Linked DNA regions of Callithrix jacchus. The main gene of each other region encodes a partner of the protein of the gene in region 3 in a complex. Links are inferred from orthologs where the notes say so. Each region holds a gene or a part of one and is shown on either strand. Other genes may lie near its edges. The genes, in order: ITGB6, ITGB8, TGFB1, ITGAV, TGFBR1, NRROS and TGFBR2.

The links.
Region 1: the proteins of TGFB1 (region 3) and ITGB6 are in contact, whole or in part, in a crystal structure (PDB 5FFO), measured with the Homo sapiens proteins. The link is inferred for Callithrix jacchus from reciprocal best matches to the Homo sapiens genes TGFB1 and ITGB6. Residues at the interface, in NP_000651.3 of Homo sapiens: Pro70, Gly71, Pro72, Glu75, Leu158, Asn237, Gly245, Asp246, Leu247, Thr249, Ile250, His251, Met253, Asn254; in NP_000879.2 of Homo sapiens: Ser142, Ala143, Ser144, Asp146, Asp147, Pro196, Cys197, Ser199, Ile200, Pro201, Tyr202, Lys228, Lys231, Ile232, Ser233, Ala234, Asn235, Ile236, Asp237, Thr238, Glu240.
Region 2: the proteins of TGFB1 (region 3) and ITGB8 are in contact, whole or in part, in a cryo-EM structure (PDB 7Y1T), measured with the Homo sapiens proteins. The link is inferred for Callithrix jacchus from reciprocal best matches to the Homo sapiens genes TGFB1 and ITGB8. Residues at the interface, in NP_000651.3 of Homo sapiens: His117, Thr241, Arg243, Arg244, Gly245, Asp246, Leu247, Thr249, Ile250, His251, Gly252, Met253; in NP_002205.1 of Homo sapiens: Ser156, Ala157, Ser158, His160, Asn161, Asp213, Tyr214, Asn215, Leu216, Gly248, Asn249, Ile250, Asp251, Thr252, Glu254, Gln286.
Region 4: the proteins of TGFB1 (region 3) and ITGAV are in contact, whole or in part, in a crystal structure (PDB 5FFO), measured with the Homo sapiens proteins. The link is inferred for Callithrix jacchus from reciprocal best matches to the Homo sapiens genes TGFB1 and ITGAV. Residues at the interface, in NP_000651.3 of Homo sapiens: Gly242, Arg243, Arg244, Gly245; in NP_002201.2 of Homo sapiens: Asp178, Asp180, Phe207, Tyr208, Gln210, Ala245, Asp248.
Region 5: the proteins of TGFB1 (region 3) and TGFBR1 are in contact, whole or in part, in a crystal structure (PDB 3KFD), measured with the Homo sapiens proteins. The link is inferred for Callithrix jacchus from reciprocal best matches to the Homo sapiens genes TGFB1 and TGFBR1. Residues at the interface, in NP_000651.3 of Homo sapiens: Ala279, Leu280, Asp281, Asn283, Tyr284, Tyr328, Ile329, Trp330, Gln335, Lys338; in NP_004603.1 of Homo sapiens: His39, Leu40, Thr42, Lys43, Phe55, Asn68, Met70, Ile78, Phe84, Val85.
Region 6: the proteins of TGFB1 (region 3) and NRROS are in contact, whole or in part, in a cryo-EM structure (PDB 7Y1R), measured with the Homo sapiens proteins. The link is inferred for Callithrix jacchus from reciprocal best matches to the Homo sapiens genes TGFB1 and NRROS. Residues at the interface, in NP_000651.3 of Homo sapiens: Leu30, Ser31, Thr32, Cys33, Thr35; in NP_940967.1 of Homo sapiens: Phe194, Glu195, Ile196, Glu197, Gly198, Gly199, Phe201, Leu210, Leu212, Pro218, Cys219, Ile220, Val221, Asp222, Phe223, Gly224, Leu225.
Region 7: the proteins of TGFB1 (region 3) and TGFBR2 are in contact, whole or in part, in a cryo-EM structure (PDB 9FKP), measured with the Homo sapiens proteins. The link is inferred for Callithrix jacchus from reciprocal best matches to the Homo sapiens genes TGFB1 and TGFBR2. Residues at the interface, in NP_000651.3 of Homo sapiens: Arg303, Lys309, Trp310, His312, Tyr368, Tyr369, Val370, Gly371, Arg372, Lys373; in NP_003233.4 of Homo sapiens: Phe47, Leu50, Phe53, Asp55, Ser72, Ile73, Thr74, Ser75, Ile76, Cys77, Glu78, Val100, Asp141, Glu142.

Annotation. Positions count from the first base shown.
Region 1 is NC_133507.1:69,659,830-69,663,329, forward strand, and holds part of ITGB6 (integrin beta-6), read left to right. Parts: intron 1-155; coding exon 156-360; intron 361-931; coding exon 932-1,178; intron 1,179-3,500. UniProt on the Homo sapiens protein: Integrin alpha-V:beta-6 (ITGAV:ITGB6) is a receptor for fibronectin and cytotactin. It recognizes the sequence R-G-D in its ligands. Internalization of integrin alpha-V/beta-6 via clathrin-mediated endocytosis promotes carcinoma cell invasion.
Region 2 is NC_133512.1:37,927,621-37,931,814, forward strand, and holds the start of ITGB8 (integrin beta-8), read right to left. Parts: upstream 2,801-4,194; 5' UTR 2,050-2,800; coding exon 1,923-2,049; intron 1-1,922. UniProt on the Homo sapiens protein: Integrin alpha-V:beta-8 (ITGAV:ITGB8) is a receptor for fibronectin. It recognizes the sequence R-G-D in its ligands.
Region 3 is NC_133523.1:36,630,758-36,634,912, forward strand, and holds the start of TGFB1 (transforming growth factor beta-1 proprotein), read right to left. Parts: upstream 2,801-4,155; 5' UTR 1,944-2,800; coding exon 1,589-1,943; intron 1-1,588. Other genes in the region: B9D2 (B9 domain-containing protein 2), read right to left, coding at 3,579-3,892. UniProt on the Homo sapiens protein: Transforming growth factor beta-1 proprotein: Precursor of the Latency-associated peptide (LAP) and Transforming growth factor beta-1 (TGF-beta-1) chains, which constitute the regulatory and active subunit of TGF-beta-1, respectively.
Region 4 is NC_133507.1:42,317,826-42,321,325, forward strand, and holds part of ITGAV (integrin alpha-V), read right to left. Parts: intron 2,968-3,500; coding exon 2,888-2,967; intron 2,519-2,887; coding exon 2,438-2,518; intron 1,997-2,437; coding exon 1,891-1,996; intron 943-1,890; coding exon 784-942; intron 1-783.
Region 5 is NC_133502.1:147,268,848-147,271,984, forward strand, and holds part of TGFBR1 (TGF-beta receptor type-1), read left to right. Parts: intron 1-1,298; coding exon 1,299-1,424; 3' UTR 1,425-3,137. UniProt on the Homo sapiens protein: Transmembrane serine/threonine kinase forming with the TGF-beta type II serine/threonine kinase receptor, TGFBR2, the non-promiscuous receptor for the TGF-beta cytokines TGFB1, TGFB2 and TGFB3.
Region 6 is NC_133516.1:25,478,725-25,482,905, forward strand, and holds the start of NRROS (transforming growth factor beta activator LRRC33), read right to left. Parts: upstream 2,801-4,181; 5' UTR 2,700-2,800; intron 2,689-2,699; exon of another isoform or gene 2,117-2,688; intron 1,923-2,116; exon of another isoform or gene 1-1,922. UniProt on the Homo sapiens protein: Key regulator of transforming growth factor beta-1 (TGFB1) specifically required for microglia function in the nervous system.
Region 7 is NC_133518.1:68,878,746-68,882,245, reverse strand, and holds part of TGFBR2 (TGF-beta receptor type-2), read right to left. Parts: intron 2,728-3,500; coding exon 2,537-2,727; intron 1-2,536. UniProt on the Homo sapiens protein: Transmembrane serine/threonine kinase forming with the TGF-beta type I serine/threonine kinase receptor, TGFBR1, the non-promiscuous receptor for the TGF-beta cytokines TGFB1, TGFB2 and TGFB3.

The DNA.
Region 1 (3,500 bases), on a different chromosome or scaffold from region 3:
TGTTGATGCTGTTTACTTTTTGGTATATTTTTAGAAAGGTTAATACTGGTTGTTCCTTTCTATGTATAATAAAAAACTTTCAATTGCTGGTATCTTATAAGAAATTCAGATTTGTTTTCTTTTTCTAGTTATTGATTTTCTTTTTTCTTTTTTAGAATTTTACCCACTCATCTGGAGTTGGCGAAAGGTGTGATACCCCAGCAAACCTATTAGCTAAAGGATGTCAATTAAACTTCATCGAAAACCCTGTCTCACAAGTAGAAATACTTAAAAATAAGCCTCTCAGTGTAGGCACACAGAAAAATAGTTCTGACATTGTTCAGATTGCACCTCAAAGCTTGATCCTGAAGTTGAGACCAGGTATGTTAGGATTTGGCTCATGTAAATAGATCTGATGTCATATATGGCAATTCTTCTACTCCACTAATGTGTCTTGTATTGTATTACATTGATTATTATGCCTCGAATTTCCCATTCTTAAGGAAATAGAAAATTGCTAGGCTCACACTTTTCTTTATTCACATTGGTCCCTGGCACTCCAAATGTGTTACTAAAGAAGCCTTCTCTAATAGTAACCATTTAAATTACTCAAATGTTGTTAAGGCTTACCTCACATCTCTTCAAGGGTTGTAATGTAGATTTAAACTCTCTTTTATTAGATGCCTCTTTTCTAAAACGAAGCACAAAAAATTCAGCTTATCTTCTATCTAAATGGATGCTAGTTCTCCCAAGGAGATATAAAATATCCTAACTTATCCTCCAGTAGTTCTAAACTCCCTGCTGAAAAATTTTTATGGGTTGGTTCATTTAGGACCTTGACTTTCAGTAAGTTCTTACTGAGGTGTAATAGCCAGCTGACCCAGCAACTGGCCAGTTGCAAATGAATCTCAGTGTGTTTTTCTGGGTTTGCTTTTCCCATTGGTCTTTGCAGGTGGTGCACAGACTCTGCAAGTGCATGTCCGCCAGACCGAGGACTATCCGGTGGATTTGTATTACCTCATGGACCTCTCCGCCTCCATGGATGATGACCTCCACACAATCAAGGAGCTGGGATCCCGGCTTTCCAAGGAGATGTCTAAATTAACCAGCAACTTTAGACTGGGCTTCGGATCATTTGTTGAAAAACCTGTATCCCCTTTTGTGAAAACAACACCAGAAGAAATTGCCAACCCTTGCAGGTAAGCAAATGATTCCCTTGGCATCTTCGTGCACTGATTTTTTGTGGAGATACCCCGGCTCTGAGCTGCACTTGCCAGGAGCTTGCTAACTCCCTGGCATTTCTGCTTCATCTGGTTGGATCTCAGCAGTTCTCTCCAGTGCCTAGGTTGCTTGGAGTGGAGGTGAGGTCATCTGAACTACATGGTTCTAGCCATGGCTTCTTGCAGCCTCTGCATCTGCCTTCCAGTGTAGGGCAGGTTGTAGCAAACCAGAATGTGTGTTATGCAGACAAGGGGACCAAGGCTTTCACCATAGGCTCCGCTGGATGGCACCTCGCCCAGTCTTTCACACACTTTCTAGTCTCAGTGGCCACCACTTTCTGAGGTTATTGGAGAATAACTTCACTTTCCCAGAATGTTTCTCCACAACAATGACTTCTGGCAAAATAATAATTTTTGCAACTTTCTCTGATGTACTTTGGGAAATATTTGTTTCTCCTATTGCTTGGAGAAGGCCTGGGCAGCCTTCATAGCTATTAAATTCAGTAGTAAATGATTTCATAGGCAATGACTCCATTCTAATATGTTATAATAAGCTATTAAAACCACATATTATTCAGGTGATGGTGGAGGACAAATTGCTTTGTGATGGCTTACCTGTTAAGTGAATGACATGTTCAGAAACAAACTATTTAATATTCTCCTATTGAAAAAGAGCTACTATATGCTCTGTGCCAGACCTTGTGCTGAAGGTTTTACACACATGACCTCATTCAGTCTTCATAACAGCAGGTTAAAGCTTAATAACACCAGCTCTATACTCAGAAGAAATAAGAGGCTCTGAGAGGTTAGCTATTTGCCCAAGGCCACATGACAAACCCATGATCTGTACCCATATTCGATTTGTCCCAAAAGCAAGCCCATTACTACTATACATCTAATATATATGAAATAATTTTCCAAATGTTTATTGACATAATACTTTTATACACCAAAAGCATCAATCTCTATAAAAGATAAATAGCTTTTATTATACCATTTAAAAAAATCTCAATGTAGCCCCCAACTACAATCTAACATAATCAAAAATAATTTAACCATAAAAGGAACTTTTCAATGATTGTAACACTTAAAAATTGTGTTTGGTTTTAAATATCTGTGATGGTGGCTTAAAAAGGGAGGTTTTTTGTTTGTTTGTTTGTTTGTTTGTTTGTTTGTTTGTTTTTGAGATGGAGTTTTACTCTGTCACCCAGGCTGGAGTGCAGTGGCATGATCTCAGCTCACTGCAATTTCTGCCTCCTGGGTTCAAGCAATTTTTCTGCATCAGCCTCCTGAGTAACTGAGATTACAGGCGCCTGCCACCACACCCGGCTAATTTTTTGTAGTCTTAGTAGTGACTGGGTTTCACTATGTTGGCCAGGCTGTTCTCAAACTCCTGACCTCAAGTGATCCACCTGCCTCAGCTTCCCAAAGTGCTGGGATTACAGGCATGAGCCACTATGCCCAGCCAATATTTTCTTCTGTTTTTTTATATAAGGACCAGAGGAAGGCCATTCAGGGATGTATGGCAGATTCAAAAACATGAGGAATCCAGGCCTTTTTCTGCTCTCTGTTTCACCATTATTGACACTTGGATTTTATCTTCATGGTCCAAGAATGGTGCTGGGGTACTAATCATCACTTCTTCATTTCAGTCAGGAGGAAAGGAGGAAAATAGGGGCAATAAGTACACTGTCTGCCTACTCCTCACAATTCCTTGTGACGTATAGTTGACATGCCTAAAATGCACAGATGGAAAATGTTTAGTTTGATGTGTTTTGATGGTTAAATATACCATTGCAATCAGTATCCAAAACATGATGCAGAATATTTTCATCACCTCAGAAATTTCCCATTACAGTCAGTTCTACCACTTCAAAGGCAACCGCTTTCCGAAGTCGATAATTTATATTGGTTTTACCTATTCCTGAATTTTATATAAATATGTAATGTAGTATATGCCCTCTGTGTTTGGCTTCTTTGGTTCAACATAATGTTTTCAAGATTTACCTATGACTTTGTATGTATCAGGAGTTTGCTTCTTTTCGTTTCAGTTAACAATCCATTGTATTTATTTACTATATTTTGTTTACTCATTCTTTCATTGGAGAACATTTGAGTTGTTTCTATTTTAGGGGGCTATTATGAAAAGGCTGCTGTGAGCACTTGCACTGAAGTCTTTGAATGGATGTATGCTTTTACTTCTCTTCACAATAGACACCTAAACTGGAATTGCTGAACTGTATAATTTTTAAAGAAACTACCAAATTGTTTTCCAAAGCGAATGTACATTTTGCATTTCCA
Region 2 (4,194 bases), on a different chromosome or scaffold from region 3:
TTGTAGCTATATCACAAAAGTACAGCAGTTTATGCTGATCTCTAATTTTCTGAGTTATACTGGCTATAATTTACATTTTTTGCATGTTTTTAACTGCCATGCAAATGAGTATACATCAGAAACCTTTGTATATTGACAGAGACTGGGAAAAGGATGCCTTGTTCTCATTTCAGATAAGCATTCCTTTTCAGGTCTGCAGGTGCAGGGAGGCCCATTCATATTTCCTTCAAATCAGTTTTAGTCAATGGGTGGAAATACAATGGTTTTTCACCAAAGCCTGACTAATGTTTATAAGCACGGTTCATGTTTTTAAAAAATTTACTATAAATGGCACATTTTAGAGGCAAGTAGGACTTTTTCCTTTGCCTATACATTGGGAACAAAATATACTGAGTTAACACAAATTTTGGTCATTTTACTAGTGTGTATGTGTGTGTGTGTGCCTGTGTGTGTGTGTTTACTAAATCAGAAAAACACTTTATTACTTATTGAAACAGGATGGAATTGTGCTCAGTGGAAAATTTGCTGCAACAAATACAGGTTTCTTTTATTTAAGAGATAACTCATAATAAATGTTACTTTTTCCTTTGCCTTTCACTTATTTTGAAATCAACAAACAAGTAAAAAAAATAACCACAAGATACAGAGATTTACTCTAATTTCTCCATTTCAGATAACTGAGTAAATCTCCCTGAAACAAATGTTAGAAAACTATATATGCAACAATTAATTAAAGATAGCTGGATGTTTCCATATGTTTATACATATAAGCCATTTATAAGGTTATGATCTGCTTTGATTAGCTTCAGGCGAAAAACTGGCACATCAAAGTATAGGAGTAAATTTTAACCTATAAAACAATTACAACTATTATGTAAACTTTCCTTGATCCCCAGAGGTCAGAGAGAGGCTCTAATATAATTTAAGGGCTTGGTGAACAAACAGAGAAAAAGTGAAATTAAAAAAAAAATATGACAATAGTCACTGCATTAGCAAAAATAAATGTTGGGCCTATATTGAAAACCATTAAGAACTTAAACTGATGTTAGTCCTATTACTTAGTTGTATAGTTTTCCAACAATCCAATTTGATTGTTTCATAAATCAAAAGTCCCAAAACACCTTCTCATGTGGTATTTGACTTGAACTTTCCTTTGTGATTTGAACTCAGAAGGCAGGTATTCCTATCCTCATTTTACAGATGAGGACAATGAATTTTATAAAGCGTTAACCTCTCTACATCAGGGTAACTGACATAAATGGCTTGCCTGGACAGAAAGTTGTCAATACTGGTCCAGCATTCTTTCTGCTTCTCTGTCTCAGAGATTGATCTTAGCGAGGGATCAATTAGATAGATTTGTTTTTTAAAACAGCTGAAAGGATGGTGACTTAAAGCATGAATATCCCTCCAGTGTGTGTAATTCATTCAGACTGAGCACTAAAGATAACAGAAACTTGGATGTTCTTTTCTGGACTCAAAAACTGAAGACTACTCCCATTATAACCAACTTACCTACAGCCTCGAGTTAAAGGCACGCTAGTTGTTAGTGGACCCAAATATTAGAAAGATGGGATGAAGATTCTGTACAGACGATGCTCTTAAGAATGGACCAGGGCCCCTAAATGACTTCTGTAAACAGGACACCCTCTCTTCCAGAATTCCTTTCTATTATGGCTTCCCCAACACTTACGAATAACACACAGCGTCTCCTGTGATCATTAGTTCTTGCTTTCACTCCAGGGCAGAAAGACACCTGGTCTAGAGACCATCTGTGCTGGAGCACCTGCCACACACCCGCCCTCCTGAAGTTCTCTGATGCCTGCAACTTACCTGGGTGGGATGCTCTGGCCGAGCAGCTCTTCGTGCCAGCCCAAGACATTGGGGAAGAGAAGAAAACAAAACAACAAAACAAAACAACTTACCACCTTGGCCCAGTCCAAGAACAAGTGAAAACACCCAGGCTGCCCAGAAGAACGAGGCGGGACCTCGCCGGTCCTTTTGCAGGCAGGCAGGAACAGCAGTAAAAAAAGCCAGGGCCGAGCCGCACATAATGCAAAACAGCCCGCCTCGCGCCCGCCGCCTGGCTGCTTTCCGGTCTCGTGCTCGCGCCTCACGAGCGCACCTCGGGGGCCGAGTGTCTCTAGGACGTTTCCCGCAGGCCCAGCAGGCGGACCCCGCGGCTCGGAGCAAGCGAAGCAGGTGAGCGGACCCGGGCACTCCTCGTCATCTCAGGGCCCTCGCGGCCCTCCTGCCATGGTACAGCGGGTCCCAGGGTCTCCGCGAGAAGCACCTCCTTCGACTGCCAAGGGCCCCGGCGGCTACTGGAGAGAAGTCTCCTCAAGGGCTCCGCAGCCTGCTCTGGGACAAAGAAAAGAGCTTTTGTTTCTCTCTAGCCGGTGGGACTTCTGCTGCATAAATCGGCTTAGCGAAGAGCCAAACACAATCAAACCCAAACAAAGCCCGAAGCTGGTGGTGAGGGGGGAACCACCCTAATGTACATTCACTGGGTGATGCTGAATCTGTGGGAGGGGACGCTGGTGAGGTCGAGGGGAAAAAGTCGATGGCGCATCAATCTGGGCGGTTTCTTCCACAGGTGGGCAGGCAGGCCACCTCCACTAGTGGCAGCTTGCAGCCTCGTCTGCGGAGCAGCGGGCAACAAGTCGGCAGCGTCCCGGCTGACGAGGGAGGAAGCTCGGGATGCCAGCAACAGGGGGAGGCGGCTGTGGGAGCGCCCTAGAAGCACCCGCTGACATCGGCAGGCACAGAGCGAGACATCGCCTCTCCCTGCCTGGCCGGGAGTGAGGCTGGTGGCCAAGAGCGCAGAAGGGGAGGTTCCCACGGGGTACGGGAACCCGGCTTTGCGGAGCGGGGGCTGCGTGCCCTGGTCGTTTTTGCCTCAGTGCGCGGCTCGGGCGTCCCACAGTCCAGAGCCCAGGTTGCTGGTGCGCTCGGAGGTGCACACTGCTAGGATGCGAGAGAGGCTGGCGAGGGACGGGAGAGGGGTGGTCCTGCTCTGCCCCCAGGGGTGGGGGACTCCACACCTGCCGGTAGCAGGGAGCACTTAGGGCGGAGAGTTGCTAGGAAACCTCCCCACGCTACCGGAGCGCCTAGCTGTTATTGCTGCCCGCAGGAGCGGCGACAGCCCTGGCGGCAGCATCAGTCACAGCTCTGAGCAGCGTGGGCGGGACATTGGTGAGGCATGAAGTCACCTCGGCCCACATTTGCTCTTTGTTTTTCTCACTCGAGCTCTTTCTTTTCCCCCTTGGCTCTGATAGTGGCCATTCCCAAGGTTCACAAGAACTCCTAAAGCGTAGCGGCGCAACAGGAATGGCACGCCTCGTTTCCTTCTCCCTCCTCCCCCGAATCCCTCCACCCTAACGCTCGCTCGAGGCGTGGTGGGACACTCGCTCAGCGGCAGCTGAGAGCAAACCCCAATCTCTCACCCCTGCGCGCTGCTTTGTTCAGAGATACTCACTGCCCCGCAGCTGCTGCATACAAAGTGGAGTCCAGGGGCCTCCCCTGACCCCAACGCCCTCTACTCAGCACTTTGTTTGCAGTTAGGAGCTCGTCCTCTGCTCCGCCACGAGGCTTCCTGGGTCTTCCTAGCCCTTGGAGAGTTGGACCCGTCTGCAGAGGCTGTTCCTGGAGCGACTGGCCAAGATTCCTTGCCGCTCCTTCTCTACTCACAGCCTTAACCCTGGGCTGGACAGCCCTGTTTTTGCCCAGGGTCTGGTGGTGGCTCTGGGCTTTTGCAAGTTACAATGAGTCTTTTGATCTTAAGTGTCACCTTCCCATTAAACGGAACAGAATAGAGACAGCAGCAAAGTGGGGAGAGAGGAGCTAAGGAGAGAAGGTGGGAGACATTTCTGCCTGCTTGCAGCTCAGAAATTTAGGTGCAAGTGGGGAGCGAGTGTTAGGCTGGGCAACTGCCTGTGAAGCAGCGTGCCTCCTCGGGTCCTGTCACTACTACTCTAAGTCCAGGGTGGGAACTGAGTACCCCGCTTTGGAAACAAGGAAACGCGGTGATGGTTCTCTTTTCCCACTAGGGGCAGGAGTGGTTCCCAGTCGAGAAGTTTGACCTCATGTTTTAATACAATCCCCGCCTCTTACAGGCATCAGACCAGTCCAGCCAGGTCAAGGTGAAATATGCGGGAGTTTCCCCCATTCTCATTTGTTTAATAGTTTCCGTCTCCT
Region 3 (4,155 bases):
CACGTGGGGAAAAGAGACACACAGGCATTTGTGGGGGAGAACAGGATTGGAGGGATCAGTGTTAAAGGAACCTCTACACAGAAGATGAAGCAAAGAGAAGGCGAGACTAAGACGTGGGTGCGGAGTGGGCGTCACTGGGCTGGAGCAGTAAACTGGCGCAGGAATGGGCCGGTGACCCGCAAGCCCCCACCACCCAAGAGTCAGTGAAACCTCAGGGACCTTCCCCCAGGCTATGAACCACACGGGATGCCTGGGTCCTCGCGTGGGTGCTGACGGGCCGTCTCAGCGGGAGCCCCGCCCATAGCTGGGGTGAAGAGAGCAGGAGGCGCCACAGCCAGGAGAGCCGGGACCAGACCTGCCCCGTCTCGCCCCGGGCTCGGCGAGCGATCCCCGCCCCCACCGGGGGCATGGGAAGGAAAGGGAAGGGAAGAGGGTGAGGCGGCCGGACGCTGGGGTTTCCCCAGCCCCGAGAGGAACTGACTCTGGGCTCCAGACTGCCAGCGTTTAGCACAGCGGGGTCCTCTTGCCCTTTGGTGGAAGAGCAGGCTCCTCCCCCCGCGCGTGGCTCCCACGTGGGGCTTTCTCACCCCTCCCAGCTTGATTTTCTCACCACGGAATTGTAGACTCACCCCCAACCCAGCACTTCCCCAGCGGCTGGGCTCTACTCAGCCCATTCCCCCGCATCCTGCGGCGAATTGGGGGCTCGCTATTCGCAGTGTAGATGGCGCTGGGTATTCTCTCCTCTGCTCCGCTCACGCCACCTTTCCCACGCTTGTCTCCCCTCTCGGTAAAGCCCTTCCCATGACCCACAATTCTAGGTCTCCTGAGAGCTTGATTCCTCCGCTGGGCTCCCACTCTGTCCCTCAAGTCCCAGTGGGAAACACCGAGGACACCTCTGCATCCCCGGCGCCCTCCCGGGTCCCGCTAGCCTCTTCCTTCCAATAACCTCGACTTCCTTTCTCCCCACATTTATCACACCAACCTCTTTCTTTTTCTACGACTCTACCGCAGCCCCGCAGCCCACGTGTTCTTCGCAGCCTCCGGAAGGGGGTCCACTATGGCTTTCCTGGCACCTCCTGGGGTGGCCTTCATCTAGCTTTTCTGTCCTTCTAGAATCTTTCCACCTCAGGACCCCCGCGCTCCGGGTCAACTTTCCCCAGTGCCTCTTTTCCTAAATACTGGTGTTTTCGCTTCTCCCACACCAGGCTCCCCCATCTCTGCAACTCCCACCCCACGGACCCCCTAATTCAACACATCCTGGAAGAAGGAGCCTTCTTCCACCCTCTCCCTATTAGTTCTCTCCCTCTAGGGGACTCCCCCCGCCCCGCGTGACCCCGCATGTTCCCGTCGCCCTCCAGAAGCGGTCCACTTCACTATCTCCTCCTCTCCAAGACCAGGTACCTGGGGGGTAGGGGGCTCAGTGCCATTCTCTTTCGACACGCCCCTCCCACCATCCCACGTTCCCGGTGCCACGGGGGTCCTGTTCCTCCAGGCAGTTTCCTCTGCCAGTCACTTCCTCCCCGTGGCCCCGGCACTCCGGCGCCCCCTGGGGGCCCCCCTCTCGACTCCCCTGCCCCTCCGAGCTCACCGTGGCGGGTTTCCATCATGAACACGCGGGTGACCTCCTTGGCGTAGTAGTCGGCCTCCGGCTCGGGCTCCGGCTCGGCGCTCTCCCCGGCCACCCGGTCGCGGGTGCTGTTGTACAGGGCGAGCACGGCCTCGGGCAGCGGGCCCGGCGGCACCTCTGCCTGATTCGGGGGGCTGGCGAGCCGCAGCTTGGACAGGATCTGGCCACGGATGGCCTCGATGCGCTTCCGCTTCACCAGCTCCATATCGATGGTCTTGCAGGTGGATAGTCCCGCGGCTGGCCGGCCAAGCGTCAGCACCAGTAGCCACAGCAGCGGCAGCAGCAGCGGCAGCAGCCGCAACCCGGAGGGCGGCATGGGGGAGGCGGCGCCCCCCGGCACTGTCGAGAGCGCGAACAGGGCTGATGCGGTGGGGCCCCCGCAGGGGCTGGGGGGTCTCAAGGGAAAGTTGAGGTCCTCAGAGCGCAGTGGTGGAGGGGAGGCTTTGACCGGGGTGTCGCAGTATCCTGTGTAAATAAGCTAGATGGGCGAGATCTGGTACCAGAAGGTGGGTGGTCTTGAATAGGGGATCTGTGGCAGGTCGGAGAGATCCGACTCCCGGAGGAGAAAGGGTCTAGGATGCGCGGGGACTCGGGAGACAGGCCGGAGATGAACGCGGTGTGCAGGGGGTGCGCCCGAGGTCTGGGGAAAAGTCTTTGCTGGAGGCCGGGTCGGCGACTCCCGAGGGCTGGTCCGGAATGGGGGCGCCTGAGGGACGCCGTGTAGGGGGCAGGGAGGGAGCAAGTGTCCCCGGCGGTGAGGGGAGGCGGTCTGGGGTCCCCAAGTCCTGCCTCCTCACGGGGTAGCGTCGCGCCAAGAGGTCCCCGTGCCTCCGGCTCCCAGCGGCAACGGAAAAGTCTCAAAAGTTTTTTTCCTCTTCTCCCGACCAGCTCGTCCCTCCTCCCGCTCCTCCTCCCCCTCCTCCCCGCAGTGGCGGGGGCGGCTGCGGCGGCGGCTGGTCTCAGACTCTGGGGCCTCGGGCTGCTCCTCGGCAACTCTTTCCTCTGCTCCGGGCTGAGGCCGGCCCCGCGGGCGGCTGAGCCGGGGGGTGCCCCGGACGGGGCGTCCCCCCTGCCCCCGGCCGGGGCCCTCGCTGTCTGGCTGATCCGTGGAGGGAGGTGGGAGGGAGATGGCCCAGGGCGCGAAGGGCGGTGGCGGCGGGGACCCGCTGGGTCGGCGGGGGGGGGGGGGGGGGGGGGGGGGTTTGAAGCCGCCCCGGCCCCACCCAGGAAGCTCACGGGGCGGGAGCGGGGGCGGCTCCCAGGGGGTAGGCATGGGGGGGGCTGGGCCACCGTCTTCATCTCGCGTGGGCCGGCTCCGAGGGGGGTCCCTTCAGCCCTGGGGGGAAAGGGGCGGGCACCCCGGCTCCGCCCCACAAACAGGGTGCTGCCTCCTGGCGGCCAAGCGCCACCAAAGCGGGTGCTCCAGATGCGCTGTGGTTTTGCCGGGCGGTATGGGTCACCAGAGAAAGAGGACCAGGCGCAGAAGGCTTAATCCGGGGGATGAGACACAGGGCAGCCAACTGGGAGAGGGTGACCCAGAATGGGAAGAGTGTGAGGCTGAGGCACAGGCTGGGGAAGAGGGTCTGTCACGGTGGGGGCCTGGGAAGGGTGTCAGTGGGAGGAGGAACAACAGGACACCAGAGAAATGGAGGAGTCAGGAGGCAGACACCTGTAAGAATTGTTCTCCTTTACTGAACACCTCCCTTGTGCCAAGCAGCCTCTTGACCCAACATCCTGCGACCCTACACATTTACTGTCCCCAACTTACAGATACAGAAACTGGGTCCAGAGTGAGCCAGAGGTCCTTGAAAGGACAGAAGCAGAGCTATATCTTAGCTGGGGTCAGCTCTGATGGTCTCCAGAGTCCATGCTCTTGACCCCTGTGCCATCCTGCCCTTCACGGGGAATCCAGGAGTGCAGGTGATGGTGGCGGCGTTGGAGGCAGGGTCCCTCAGCACTCAACGCCGTAGCGGTCGAAGTGGCGCAGCAGCAGGCTGATCTCCAGGTGCACGGTGCCACCAGCAGCTGTGTGCAGGCGATAGCGGTCGGCACCACTGTAGATGGTGTCCCCATGCAGCAGCTGCGGCCCTCCACCCACAAAAGCCCGTGCCAGCTGTTCCCGCCAACTGCCAAGGGGCCGCCATGTGGGACAGGCCAGCTGGTGGGTGCCTGGGCTGCTGGGCACATGGCAAAATCCATAGCCTGCAAGCTGGCAGCGGCCAAAGCTGTCCTGGGACCACACCTGGAAATGGAGCCGGGGCCAGCCTGTAGGAAAGGAGGGAGAGGGGACAGAAGGGATGGGTGGGGACCAGCCTCCTGCCCCTGATTCCCTCCTCCTCAATGCCCACTGGGCACCCCAGGGCCAGTCCCTTCCTCTCTGGGTTTCTGTCCTAGGGTTTCCAACCCAGCCTCCTTTTTAGGCTCCCACCCTCTCATCTACCCTCACACAAAGGCCAAACAGATCTTTACAAATCGATGTTACTCACCCTGCTCAAGATCCTTCCATAGCTCCCCAGTGCCCTTGGTAC
Region 4 (3,500 bases), on a different chromosome or scaffold from region 3:
TAAAATGGTGATAAATTATAATGAAAAACATTTTACATCAGCATTTTGATATAAACTCTTACATATAATTAAAAAATAGTGAATGAAAATTTAGTATGACCGAGTATTTACCACTCAATATATGGTGAATTGTAAGAACAAAAAAATAAAGATTAGAGTCTTTAACATGTACCAAAAAAATAGCTCTCCCTAGCCATTGTTTTCAGCCCTTGCTTAGCTAGAGTGGAAACTGACGAAACATAAACAAACAGCCTGAAATTCCACAGTACATCTGTGATGTCAATCATGGTATATTTTTAACTTTGTTTATTATTATTTTTTTACCTTTCCTTGGAGGATATTGTATAATAGTTTGTTGTGCAAATCTATGATGGTGATGACAATATCCAAAAGCATATATAATTCTACAAAATGACATTAGGTCATGTAAGTCAAAAGAATCATGAGTAAAATGAGATCTCTTATCCTGAAGGTAGAAATTTTAACAACGAAACACCTTTGATGTGATATTGTACCCTGAACAAACCACACTGTGATGGAGCCAAGGTCAAACTGAGTCACTGAAGGACATCTCATGAAGCTCACTAAGCACTCCATGAAGATATGGTTCACTAGGATGTCAATAATTAATTCTTACCCATTACATAAATGATCTTATCCTGAGTGTACTGCTTATGAACTAAACCATTTTTTGCAGAGTTGGTTTTATGAATTTCTTTTATAGGTTTAGAAAGAAGGCAATAAAATATCATTATAATGAAGAGCTGCTACTAAGAACATTACCTTAATTCTCAAAGGGTTGATTTCCATATCTGAAGTGCAGTTCATTGGCCCATCAATATCATAATGAAGGATATACAACAGAGTGTTATTGTTATATTTGTAAGGCCACTGGAGATGGAGCATTGCTTTGCTGAATGAACTTGGACCATTGTTTCTCAGCTAAGGAGATAAAAGAAAATGTATCCACACCTTGGGCAAAAATCTATACTATAATCATTCCCCTACATCAACTTTAGAAATCATATTAACAACAGGTTTTAAATAATAGCACAGTTTCCACACTTAACCTATAATTTAATTACAATATGACCATTTTTATGCAAAAATGTTCAAACTCAACATTTGTCTCTAACATAGAGTAATGCATCATGATAAAAATATAAACAAGGCTGGGGGAAGTGGCTCATGCCTGTAATCCCAGCACTTTGGGAGGTCGAGGTGGGTGGATCCCTTGAGGTCAGGAGTTCGTGATCAGCCTGGACAATATGGTGAAACCCCGTCGGTGAAACCCTGTCTCAGCTAAAAATACAAAAATTAGCCAGGCATGGTGGTGCATTCCTGTAATCCCAGTTACTCGGGAAGCTGAGGCAGGAGAATAGCTTGAACCTGGGAGGTGGAGGTTGCAGTGAGCTGAGATCATGCCACTGCACTCCAGCCTGGGCGAAAAGAGCGAGACTCCACCTCAAAAAATATATATAAATATATAAACAAAAGGGGAAAATGTTAAAAAGTTATTAATGAAAGACGACAAAAAATTTTTCTTCCTATAGAAATACAGTTTTGATTATTTGCCATAGGTATTTTTAAATTTTAGCCAGAACTACAAAATGCCCATGACAAAGTACCAATGATTTATTTCTTTTATGCAAGTAGAACTAATTGATTTAAACAACCAATTATATAAATTGCTTTCTTTAAACAAAGCTATTAGTCAAATAAAAATGAACTTATCAATAAGGAAAATACTCAAAGAAATCTCTGACACATACTTAACCAATGCAGAGTTTAAATAAAAATTACATAGAATTGTTTTTGTAAAAATAGCTTAGTTGTTCCTCTCTTTGTTGTCTCGCTCACTAGGTTTGGGTAAAATCCAACACTGCAAACCTCATAGATGTGCTGAACAACTGGCCCAATGTCTTCTTCAGTCTCAGGGTTCTCTTTGTGCTCCCAGTTTGGAATTGGAAGAAAGATATGATCAGGACTCGAGACTCTAAACAATGACCAAAGAAAACCTACCATGAATATCAAAATGATATAGTCAGTTCACTTTCAAAAGTACCCTGTATTTATTACTCAAATGAATAAAATTGGATCTAATTTTAAAAAATAGTTTAAAAGAAAACTAATGAACACACACATGGACAGAAACTGCTCTTATGAAATATACACATAACAGGTGAATTGATAATTTGTGTAAAAGTTCAGTAAACTTATTTTGTGCATGTTGTTGCTAGGTCTTGTTCATTTTGAGGATCACTCAGTATTGGGGGTTTGGAACACACCTAGGATTTTATTTCTACAGAAGCTAATGCCCTAGTAAAACCACCACTAAATGTGTAGTGTCTACTGTCCAGAAGACGCTAAGGCCTGATGGTTACCCTTTAAAAAGCAATCGTGACAAGGTGGTACTCGACTAAGTATTCATACTGACCCTCTTATCTCAACTGCAGCTAAAACAGCAAGGTCAACTTGGTGAGATACAACTGGGCTTACTCTGTCAAAAAGATTTGAGCTGAAATAGAAAAAAAATATTCAGAACTGAATTACACATAACACCAAAAACATACAGAGGCAAACCCAGTGAAACTAAAATTAACACAACAGAAGAAACAAATGTAAAGCTTATACCTCAAAATAATTATTTTCATTAATATTTAATTCCAAGAAGATGAATGTTTTATTTCTGGATTTTAAATTTTGTTTTACAAACTCAAACCTGACAATAAAATTCTTCTAATAATGTAAATACTGATTTTTAAATGCTTTAATGAAGCAATAAATTTTAATCTGTACTATTCTATATTTGAAGTACATTACATAGTATATTTACAACAAATAGTATTTATTCAACAGTTATAAGTGAATACAAGTTGTTTCACACCTTTGGATTTGTAAGTCAAATTTCACAGAAGTATCCATCTCTGACTGCTGGTGCACACTGAAACGAAGACCAGCTAAGAGCTGAAGGAGACAGTAAAAGATAGTAATGTTAGTCAATGTCTAATTAGCAATATTTCAAATCCAATGTCTAAATAAAAAATAATGCTCTAACATGGGATTTTTCTGAGTTTACAATAAAACTGAACAAAGATAATTAAATCTGATTTTCTATCAAATCTGTTTACTTAAGATACCTGGGCCAATCCATAAGAGAGCCTATTTAACAACAATTATTAATCATAATTATACCTTCTTATAATACTAAACACTTTTCTAAAAAATGAAGAAGTAAATGTTTGTTGATACAGTGATAGTCTAGTAACTGGGTACAATGATTTGATAACAGGAAGCTAACAACCAAAGCCTGTGCTGTGTCCATGGGCGAGGAGAGAAGAAATGGATGGTTTACTAGAGAAAGAGAACCTGTCTAAGGAAGACATGAGTAGGGCCACAACCAGAATTTCTCCACACACCTCTCGTAATATTCCCAACACCAAATATCGTAACTCCTGCAAGCAGAAAATCAGTAGACTTTAAATAAAACAAATGAACCA
Region 5 (3,137 bases), on a different chromosome or scaffold from region 3:
CCTGGGTTCAAGCAATTCTCCTGCCTCAGCCTCCCGAGTAGCTGGGATTACAGGCACGCGCCACCATGCCCAGCTAATTTTTTGTATTTTTAGTAGAGACGGGGTTTCACCATGTTGACCAGGATGGTCTCGATCTCTTGACCTCGTGATTCACCCGCCTCGGCCTCCCAGAGTGCTGGGATTACAGGCGTGAGCCACCGCGCCTGGCCTACCTTCAGCCAGGACAACCCAGAATAGTGGACAGTTCCTGGACAGGAATAAGGAGACATGTATTCTAGACCAGCCTGGCTACCATTTTAAGGATCTAACTTTGAACAAATCACTTCAGTTCTCTGGACCTTAATATCCCTTTGTAAGGTGAGGAACTCAGATAAGGTGATTACAAAGGTGTTTCAAATGATTTTCCATTTCATTCATCTGATTGCCTAGATGACCATTAACCAGGAATTTGGGGAAAATGCTTTTTTCCAGGAGTGTCTGAGCTTCTCATCAGCTCTAACAAAAGTTTTAGAAATGTTTTTGTAATTGCAAATTTAAGGATTCGTAAGACAAATTTTCTTTAACCTCTCTCTCCTTAATTGCTAGCTGTTACTATTATAAAATTAGTAAAGCGGGGACTATTCCTCCAGGTTTGAAGTTGTATAGCTTAAAAGGCTATAAAAAGCTGTTCAGTTCAGTAGTTGGTTTTACATCTTAAAATATTGTAGGACTCAGCAGAACCTCTAATAACCAACAGAGCTTGCTACCTCCAACAAAATCATCTCCAGGCCCAGATAAAATGTATTTCAGCATGCTCAAAGGATTTGCATGTGACATAAGAGTGCTGCTAGATTTTGTCTTTTAGAAATTTTATCTAGTTGGGAGGCCGAGGTGGGAGGATTGCTTGAGCCTGGGAGGTCAAGGCTACAGTGAGCTGAGAGCGTGCCATTACATTCCACTCTGGGCGACAGAGTGAGAGACCCTGTCTCAAAAAGAAAAATTTGATCTGGATGCTTCAAAGTACAAACTTAAAAGTTTAGTGAGGTCAGGTTTCTTCTTTGCTTTGCCCAGCTCTGGTTTAGGATTTGGCTTTTTCAGGTTTGCTAAGTCTTTGTCCACCTGCTTTCCAGCACTGACACCAATACTCTGTTGATGGAAATTTATGTAATTTCTACTCATTTGCTGTTACAAATAATGCTTCCACAACAACAACGAATGTTTATCTGTCATTTAAAAAGAAAGTTTACAGGTAAAGATTCTTATCCAGACCAGTGGAAAATGGTACATGCATTAATTATTTTTCTTGTATTTTCTTGTAGGCCCTGAGAGTAATGGCTAAAATTATGAGAGAATGTTGGTATGCCAATGGAGCAGCTAGGCTTACCGCATTGCGGATTAAGAAAACATTATCACAACTCAGTCAGCAGGAAGGCATCAAAATGTAATTCTGCAGCTTTGCTTGAACTCGACTTTTTTCTTCAGATCTGCTCCTGGGTTTTAATTTGGGAGGTCAATTGTTCTACCTCACTGAGAGGGAACAGAAGGATGTTGCTTCCTTTTGCAGCAGTGTAATAAAGGCAATTAAAACTTCCCAGGATTTCTTTGGACCCAGTAAACAGCCATGTGGGTCCTTTCTGTGCACTATGAACGCTTCTTTGCCAGGACAGTTACAAAATGTTGTGTAGTCTACCTTTATTTTTTATTAACAAAACTTGTTTTTTAAAAAGATGATTGCTGGTCTTAACTGTAGGTAACTCTGCTGTGCTGAAGATCATCTTTAAGGGCAAAGGAGTTGGATTACTGAGTTATAATAAAACATTTCTTATTATTAAAGAAAGTGATTTACTCCTGGTTAGTACATTCTCAGAGGATTCTGAACCACTAGAGTTTCCTTGATTCAGACTTTGAATGTACTCTCCTATAGTTTTTCAGGATCTTAAAACTAACACTTATAAAACTCTTATCTTGAGTCTAAAAATGACCTCATATAGTAGTGAGGAACATAATTTATGCAATTGTATTTTGTATACTATTATTGTTCTTTCACTTATTCAGAACATTACATGCCTTCAAAATGGGATTGTACTATACCAGTAAGTGCCACTTCTGTGTCTTTTTAATGGAAATGAGTAGAATTGCTGAAAGTCTCTATGTTAAAACCTATAGTGTTTGAATTCAAAAAGCTTATTTATGTGGGTATCCCAAACTTTTTCTGTTTTGTTTTTTGGAAAGGTTTTTGTGGTATGTCATTTGGTATTCTATTTTGAAAATGCCTTTCTTCTACCAAAATGTGCTTAAGCCACTAAAGAAATGAAGTGGCATTAATTAGTACATTGTTAGCATGGTCATGTTTGAATATTCTCACATCAAGCTTTTGCATTTTAATTGTGTTGTCTAAGTATACTTTTAAAATAGCAAGTGGCACTCTACATGCTTATAGTACTTTAATATTTGTATCATACAGACTAATTTTTCTAAAAGGGAAAGTTTGTCTAGCTGTTTGTGAAAAGTTATGTGGTATTCTGTAAGCCATTTTTTTCTTTATCTGTTCAAAGACAGTGTTATTTTTTTAAGAAAGGAATTACATTTAAAATTAGAATATGGTTAATGTTAAATAATAGGCCTTTTTCCAGGAAGGCAAAGGTAGTTAGTAATTTGAATAGATAACAGATGTGCAAGAGTCACATTGGTTATGTAGGAATGTTTGGTGGATCCTCTGTCTTTGTAACTGAGGTTAGAGCTAGTATGATTTTGAGGTCTCACTACACTTTGAGGAAGGCAGCTTTTAATTCAGTGTTTCCTTATGTGTGCGTACACTGCAACTGCTTACTTTACATGTAATTTATGTAATGCATTCATTGCACCCTTGATATTTGGAAGAGGTGGTAGCTAAAGAACATTCTGAGTATAGGTTCTTCTCCATTTTTACAGATGTTTTTGTCAAGTTAAATATTGAAAGCAAACTTGTCATGGTCTTCTCACATTAAGTTGAAACTAGCTTGTAATAACTGGTTTTTACTTCCAATGCTATAAAGTCTCTGCAGGGCTTTTGCAGTTTTCAAAGTCCTTTTATCACTGTGATCTTATTCCAAGGGGAGGAAAAACTATCCTAGCTGTGAGCCACAACTTTGACTTTATAGTGCTATCAGTTCCCCAAT
Region 6 (4,181 bases), on a different chromosome or scaffold from region 3:
GTCGCTGATGTGCAATGACACATTAACAAGCATCAGTAAACACAGACATCTGTAAGTATGTAACAGACAGCATGTCCTAAGAAAGGTAGTGTTTTTCAGTCATGGTTGTAAGTCCACCCTCTCCTAACTTATGAGACTATACAATGGATCTATGCATGATGTGATGCACAGTCATTGCCCATAGGAGCATCTGGTTTGTGCTTTGCAATGTGGATACATAGAGAATGCAGGTAGTGATCAGTACTAGCATCTCTCTTCCAAAAGAGTCAAGACCAGAGACAGACAAGTCAATGTATTCTTTTTTTTTTTTTGAGATGGAGTTTCACTCTTGTTGCCTAGGCTGGAGTGCAATGGCACGATCTCAGCTCACTGCAACCTCTGCCTCCAGGGTTCAGGCAATTCTCCTGCTTCAGCCTCCTGAGTAGCTGGGATTACAGGCATGTGCCACCATGCCCAACTAATTTTGTATTTTTAGTAGAGTTCAGTGTTTCTCCATGTTGGTCAGGCTGGTCTCAAACTGCCAACCTCAGGTGATCTGCTCGCCTCGGCCTCCCAAAGTGCTGGGATTACAGGTGTGAGCCACCATGCCCGGCTGGTCAGTGTATTCTCAGTGCAGATCCCAGAACAGAGATATTGGGAGTCCGTGTCTCTTTTGGAGTTTACCGTGCATGTGTCATCACCAAAGAGCAGGAACTCTTGGATGATGGATTTAAAAACTATGAGAGATTATATTTATATGGGTTTTCATGAAGTTCCCATGAGGGTATCCATTAGATGAATGCGGGGTGTGGTGGCTCATGTCCATACTCCCGGCACTTTGGGAGGCTGAGGCAGGAGGATTGCTTGAGCCCAGGAGTTTGAGATCAGCTTGGGTAACACAGCAAAACCCTGTCTCTACAAAAAAAAAAAATTTTAATTAGCCGGCATGGTGGTATGCCCCTGTGGTCCTAGCTGCTCAGATGGCTGAAGCAGGAGGATCATTTGAGCCCAAGGGTTTGAGGATGCAGTGATCTGTGATCATGCCACCATACTTCAGTCTGGGCAACAGAGCAAGAGCGTGTTGCTAAAAATAAATAAATAAATAAATAAAATTTTAAAAAAGTAGTGCCTTCTTTGTGAAGCTGAGTTTTGGGGTTTTTTTTTTTTTTTTTTTTTAACTTAAAGGCATGAGTGAAGGTTTTTTTTTTTTTTCCCCTGGGCCCATGATTTTACAATCTGCTTTAGGAACTCTCAGGCATACACATAGAAACCTAAGGGGTGTGTGAGGAGAATAAATATGACTCAGGGACGTAAAGCCCAGCAAAGCCCCAGCACTCACAGGAACAGTCTGTGTGTCACAGCCAGCGAGTAAAAGGCACACAGGAAAGCATGGAGAGCCAGCTCTGTAGACTCTGAATGTTTCTAGTATCCAGACTCCTAACAGGCTGTATCCATCATGAGGAAGCCTCCAGTGGGGTTCCCTCAGCCCCTCCGGAAGCACACCAGCCCCAACCAGCCGGGTCTAGAGGCTCCATCCTTAGGACCCTGACCCAGTCTCCTCCAGTCCCAGCCACCAACTGGCACAGTTTACCTTCTCAGAGGCAGCACAAAGCCACATTAGTGGCTTCTTCTTTCCATCTAGCTCCTGGGTACATAGAGATGTACACTGACCCCTTCAGAAGCTGGCCCACATGGAGAGGCCACAAGGGCTACAGAAGGGCATCCGAGTCTTAGTCTCCCTCTGATAAACCACGGATCTAAGACTAGGCTAGCTGGCTGGGCTGCTGGGATTACATCTGTAATCCCAGCACTTTGAGAGGCTGAGGTGGGTGGATGACCTAAGGTCAGGAGTTCAAGACCAGCCTGGACAACATGGCGAAATCCTGTCTTTACTAAAAATACATAAATTAGGCAGGTGTGGTGGCACACACCTGTAATTCCAGCTATTCAGGAGGGTAAGGCAACAGAATTGCTCCAACCCAGGAGGAGGCAGAAGTTGCAGTGACCCAAGATCGTGCCACTACGCTACAGCCTGGGAGACAGACTGAGATGTGTCTCAAAAACAAAACAAAACAAAAAAAACCTAGGCTAGCCGTGGATACAAGTCACAGAGCCACAGCGAATCTCCAAGCTTTGCACGTAGTGTCCCCAAGGCCTTGTACAGGCCTGGCACATGGAAGACATCTGTGAACATGTGTTGCTGTTCACCAGTCTTAGTGTCTTCATCTATGAAATAGTGGTTCTCAACCCACGTTGAGAAAGGAGGAAAGGAGATCCCAGCGCTCAGCATGCTGAGTGTGCACAGAGTGGTGTCATCATATCCAGTCGCCCAGCCCAGGAAGGGAGCATGACTGTTCCCATTTTGCAGATGAGAAAACTGAGGCTAGGAAACCTTAACGGCCTGCTCTTATGCTCCCTGCTGAGCCAGGAGTCAAATCCAGGTCTGAGTCTGAAGCCCTCGTGGTTTCTACTACACCGCACCACCTTTTTCACCGTAAGTGCTCCTGGAGGGAGCTATTTCCACCTCCATCCAGAGCTGCAGCCCCCACACCCAGCACAGAATCCCCGTGCTTGGATGCAGCAAGCCACAGCTTCCTGGGCAGCCCTCAGCCTCGGGCCACGGACGCTGACTTCCTACCACCCATCCTCGCCCGAGCTCGCCCACCTGGAGAAGGGCCCTGGCTGTCCCCAGGGGACACCCCCACGCAGGAAATACTCACGGCTCCCGCAGGCCCAGGCGGCTCCGCGGGGCGCATCCTCTCTAGGGGCTCCAGCCTCCTCGAAAGCAGTCGAACGCCAGGCTGGGCTGCCTCCTTTCTCTGGGGCATCAGATTATTTTAGCATTAGCGGAAGGAACAGACGGAAACTGAAGTCACATGGAGAGCGGGCTGCTCAGCGACTCAGCACTCAGCCTCACTTAGATCGCGCTTCTTAGAGGGAACTGCAGCGCGGGGCGCGGGGGATGGGGCGGGCTGAGGGAAAGCGAGCACCTAATACCCTCCGGGCTTAGTCGCCAAGCATCGGGGATATTTTAATGATTTTCCAGCAATGTGAACTAGGCTCCCCTGCTTTCTTGCCTTAGAGCCTTTACAGGGCTGGGGGTGGCCAGCTACGGATCCTTGTCTGTGAGGTCTGCTGACCCAGAAACTTTTCTACAAGGTTCCAGCCAAGGACCAAGCTGAGGCTGACTTTGGGAATGGCAGCACATGGTTTCCACTTGTCAAGAGGGACAACCTGCCGTCTGGAAGAGTCAGCCACTCAGCTAGTCTGTCTTTTTATCCACTCAGCTAGTCCTTATGGATAATCTCCTTTCATGGACCCACACTGTGTTAAAAAGCAGTGGAACTGCTTTGTCGTGAATTGTCAGGGAGTGCCATGAGCTTCTGGATCACAGACTGCATGGATGAGGTTTTTTGTACCTGATGTGTACAAAGTTCCCTGCCAGCTCTTGCCAAGGATTCAAAGGAATAAGAAGCATTGATAATATCGCCATCATCGAAGGAGTGCCAGGCGCTGTGCATTCTCCCAGATCTCCTGTTCTTGAGGAACTACTGTTGTCCAGAGAAGGTGAAATATTTACAGGGTCTGCTGCATGCCCAGTGAGTGACGTGGACCATTATACTAGTAGGCTCAGACGAGGGGTCTCCAGTTCTGATCTCTCATTCCCCTTCAAATCTGGAACGCTGGGCTTGGTGCAGTGGCTCACGCCTGTAATCTCAGCACTTTGGGAGGCTGAGGTAGGAGGCTCACCTGAGATCAGGAGTTTGAGACCAGCTTAGCCAATATGGTGAAACCCCATCTCTACTAAAAGTACAAAAAGTAGCTGGACATGGTGGTGGGTGCCTGCAGTCCCTGCTACTCAGGAGGCTGAGGCAGGAGAATCACTTGAACTGGGGAGGCAGAGGTTGCAGTGAGCTGAGATTGTGCCACTGCACTCCTGCCTGGGCAAGAGAGTGAGACTATCTCAAAAAAAAAAAAAAAAAAAATCTTGAACGTTGAAGTGTCCTGCAGAATTTGGGTCACCTCTCTTGTAGCCTGTGATTTCTGATTTTGGGTACTTTTGTCCATTCTAAGAGAAGAGGAACAGGTCCTTTCTACTCCAAAAATCCAGCAGATTGTCTCTGCTCTCTACAATATTCACTCCTGGCAGGACACAGGGGCTCATGCTTATAATCCTAGCACTTTGGGAGGCCAAGGTGGAC
Region 7 (3,500 bases), on a different chromosome or scaffold from region 3:
TATGAGATGTTTTTACAAAGAAATTCAATACTAAAATATAGATCCAACTTGCAGGCCATTTATCAATTTTTGTCCTTTTGAATAAAATAAACGTGTCTACTGTAGACAAGCCACTATACATAAGGAGGGAAAAGTTTCTTCAGTGCTAGTAAATGTGCCTGGGTATTCTAGTGTTACAGATTAATTCCTTTGGCTTAGCCTAGGCCTTCTTTTAAAAGGTGAACTACTTGAAGAAAGCTGATGTGGTTAAGTCAGAATATCGGGTATTACTATGTTTAGTATGATTTAATCATTTGGATCTCCCTCCTAATTCAAATCACATAAAGAAAATGAGGCCGGGCACAGTGGCTTACGCCTCTAATCCCAGCACTTTGGGAGACCAAGGTGGGTGGATCACCTGAGGTCAGGAGTTTGAGACCAGCCTGACCAACATGGTAAAACCACCTCTCTTCTAAAAATACAAAAATTAGCTGGGCGTGGTGGCACATGCCTGTAATCCCAGCTACTCAGGAGGCTGATGCAGGAGAATTGCTTAAACCTGGGAGGCAGAGGTTGCAGTGAGTCAAGATTGCACCATGGCACTCCAGCCTGGTGAAAGAGCGAGACACCATCTAAAAAAGAAAGAAAGAAAGAAAGAAAGAGAGAGAGAGAGAGAGAGAGAGAAAGGAAAAAGAAAGAAAGAAAGAAAGAGAGAGAGAGAGAGAGAAAGAAAGAAAGAGAGAAAGAAAGAAAGAAAATGAGAGAAATGGACCATTTGTAGGAAGGGAACATAGGAAGGAAGAGTGATCTGGAAAGTGTTGCCCTGACAAGGTGTGCCTGCCTTCAGTTCACTGAGAAGTTGGCCTAGGGGGAGCTGGACAGGAAGAGGGAGAATGGCAGTAGGTGAAGGACACAGGAAGAGAACAAGCTGGATGTGCAGTGCTGCTGAGCACCAAACACGAAACACGAGGACACATCCCTTCTCGGAGGTGGAACACACGTGGCAGCAGAGATAGGGTGTAGAGCCAGCACTTGTGTTCCAAAAAGATTTTTTAATTAAATCAGACCCATTGTTGACTAAACTAACCTTTCGCTTCCCTGAATTTACATTCCTAGAGCCAAAAGAGTACTATTAATATTTATTTACACTACCACGATGGTAAAATTAAAAGATGTATCCATCCCCAGTGTTGGAGAAGGCACATGAAAATCCATGTGTTTACATATTTTTTGGGAGGAGAATAGTTTAGTAGTGTTTATTCAAATTTAAAATGCACATATTTCTAAACCAGAGATTTCACTTCTAGCAATCTGTTTTGCAGAAATATTAGCACAAATACATGAGATAAAGATATTTAATGTAGCACGAAGTGGAAAAACTGACGATACAAAAATAATCCATGCACAGGGTCATGATTAGATCCATCACGGAAGATAATATGAAATTCTAGACTGAAATTGAAAGATGTACAGTATAACTATGTGTTCCATCTTGTTTAGAAAGAACTGTAAAAGTGGTTGGGTGTAAAAAGTGTTGCAATATAACATTTACAATATGATAAAACAGTTGGAGTGAAAGATGGATGAGTGGATGGGACAGATAAAAGATGGACAGAAGGATGAAAGGAGGGAAGGAGAAAGGAAGACAGGGAGTGTTTGGGAGTGGGAGATATGAATGAATGACAGAGATACTGTCATTCAGTGTGTGCGTCCAGTCCATTGTCAATACAGATAATCTGTTGCACTGGGAGTGAGGGGATGAGGGAAATGTACTTTCATTTTTAATTTTCACACACTGTTGGATTGTTTGGAATTTCTGATAAAGAACATATACTAATTTGTAATTAAAAACCAACCACTGAACGTCACTTCTCTTATTAAAAATTGAGGGAAGAGTGTGTGCCTTCCTTTCAAGCTGAGTGAACCCTGAACTTCAAAGATGAAGGCTAGTATCTAATCTACTCTTTTCCTGGCTCCAAGGGTAAACTTTGACTTATTATTTCCTCTCTGTATTTCAATGTTTCTCTCAAATGGGATCAATGACCAGTACCCTACCTGGGACGATGTACAAGAAACAGCTTCAGTTATAAAGCAAGTCCTCCTCCAGGATTAAACAACCCCATCCAAATCTCTAGAATAATGGTCATCAAATTTTAGCTGCACAGAACTACTAGGAGGGCTTGTTAAAATACAGATAGCTGGGATTCACCCGCTGTGTTGCTGATTTAGTGGGGCCTGAGAATCTGCATTTATAACAGGTCCCCAGGTGATTCTCATGCTGGCTGCTCAAGGGGCTGCACTTTGAGAACCACTGCTCTAGGTGAAAGAAACTATTTGTCAAAGACAAATAATAATGTTTGCCCCAGTCAACTAGATTTGATCGGATCCAGTACAAACCTTGCTCCTCCCTAAGCCCCTCTTCCCACCAGCGGAACGGGCTCGTAATCCACTGTACAGAATCCACCACAGGAGGAACTTGGTCCGTGACACTTCAGATCAACAGTGCAAAAAACTGGCACAGATGTCAGGCCCAGTCCCTTCTGAGGAGAAAACTCACCTTCTGAGAAGATGATGTTGTCATTGCACTCTTCAGAGCTACAGGAACACATGAAGAAAGTCTCGCCAGGCTTTTTTTTTTCCTTCATAATGCACTTTGGAGAAGCAGCATCTTCCAGAATAAAGTCATGGTAGGGGAGCCTGGGGTCATGGCAAACAGTCTCTAGTGTTATGTTCTCGTCATTCTTTCTCCTAGAGTGCAGAGATTCATTGAGGGTGAGGGAAGAGGGAGAGAGAGGAGGAGAATAAATGAATACTATGGCCTCCATACAGGAAGGCAATCTGGACTACTTTTCCTTCACAAAGTTGTTCCCTAACAAAGGCCCCTGATTCCTGTTCTCCAGCATTCGCAGGCTGTCCTCTGGTCTCCTGTGCTTTTCTACTTTTTTCTGTTTTTCCTTTGTTTATTCTCGGAACCCATTTGTGGTTATAAACATCACATGGAGCAGACAGTGTTCCATGGGGGCAGTCCTGCTGGAGAATTTTACATATTTAAGTCTGAATTAAATCATTAAAGGAGAAGGCATGGGAAAAAAGAACATTCCTAGGTACTCAGGATCGTTTTAAATCTTCCATCCTGAATGTTATGCAAAGCTCACATCACACCCTCAGTTGAACTGGCAAACTCTGTCCTGTCTAGCTAAACTGTGTTCAAAGAGCGTGCCTGGGGAGATAGTCACAGTTCCTCTTTTTTTGTTTGCTGGGCCTCAGAGCATTGTGTATGAAGGGCATACTCCTTGTCAACAGCTGGTTCTGCTGAGAAAAATGGGAAGAACCATCCCAGATAAAGAACTGCAGTCTTTCCCAAATTACAGAAAGGCGCAATCAGGAAAAAAAAAAAGGGAAAGGATTTCAGGGTGTTCTTCACTCACAGCTCAATGAAATATTTTATGCTGTCATTAACTACTTTTACATTTAGTATCCCTTCCTAGCATATATTTGAAGACTAATTCAGCCCAGGGCTC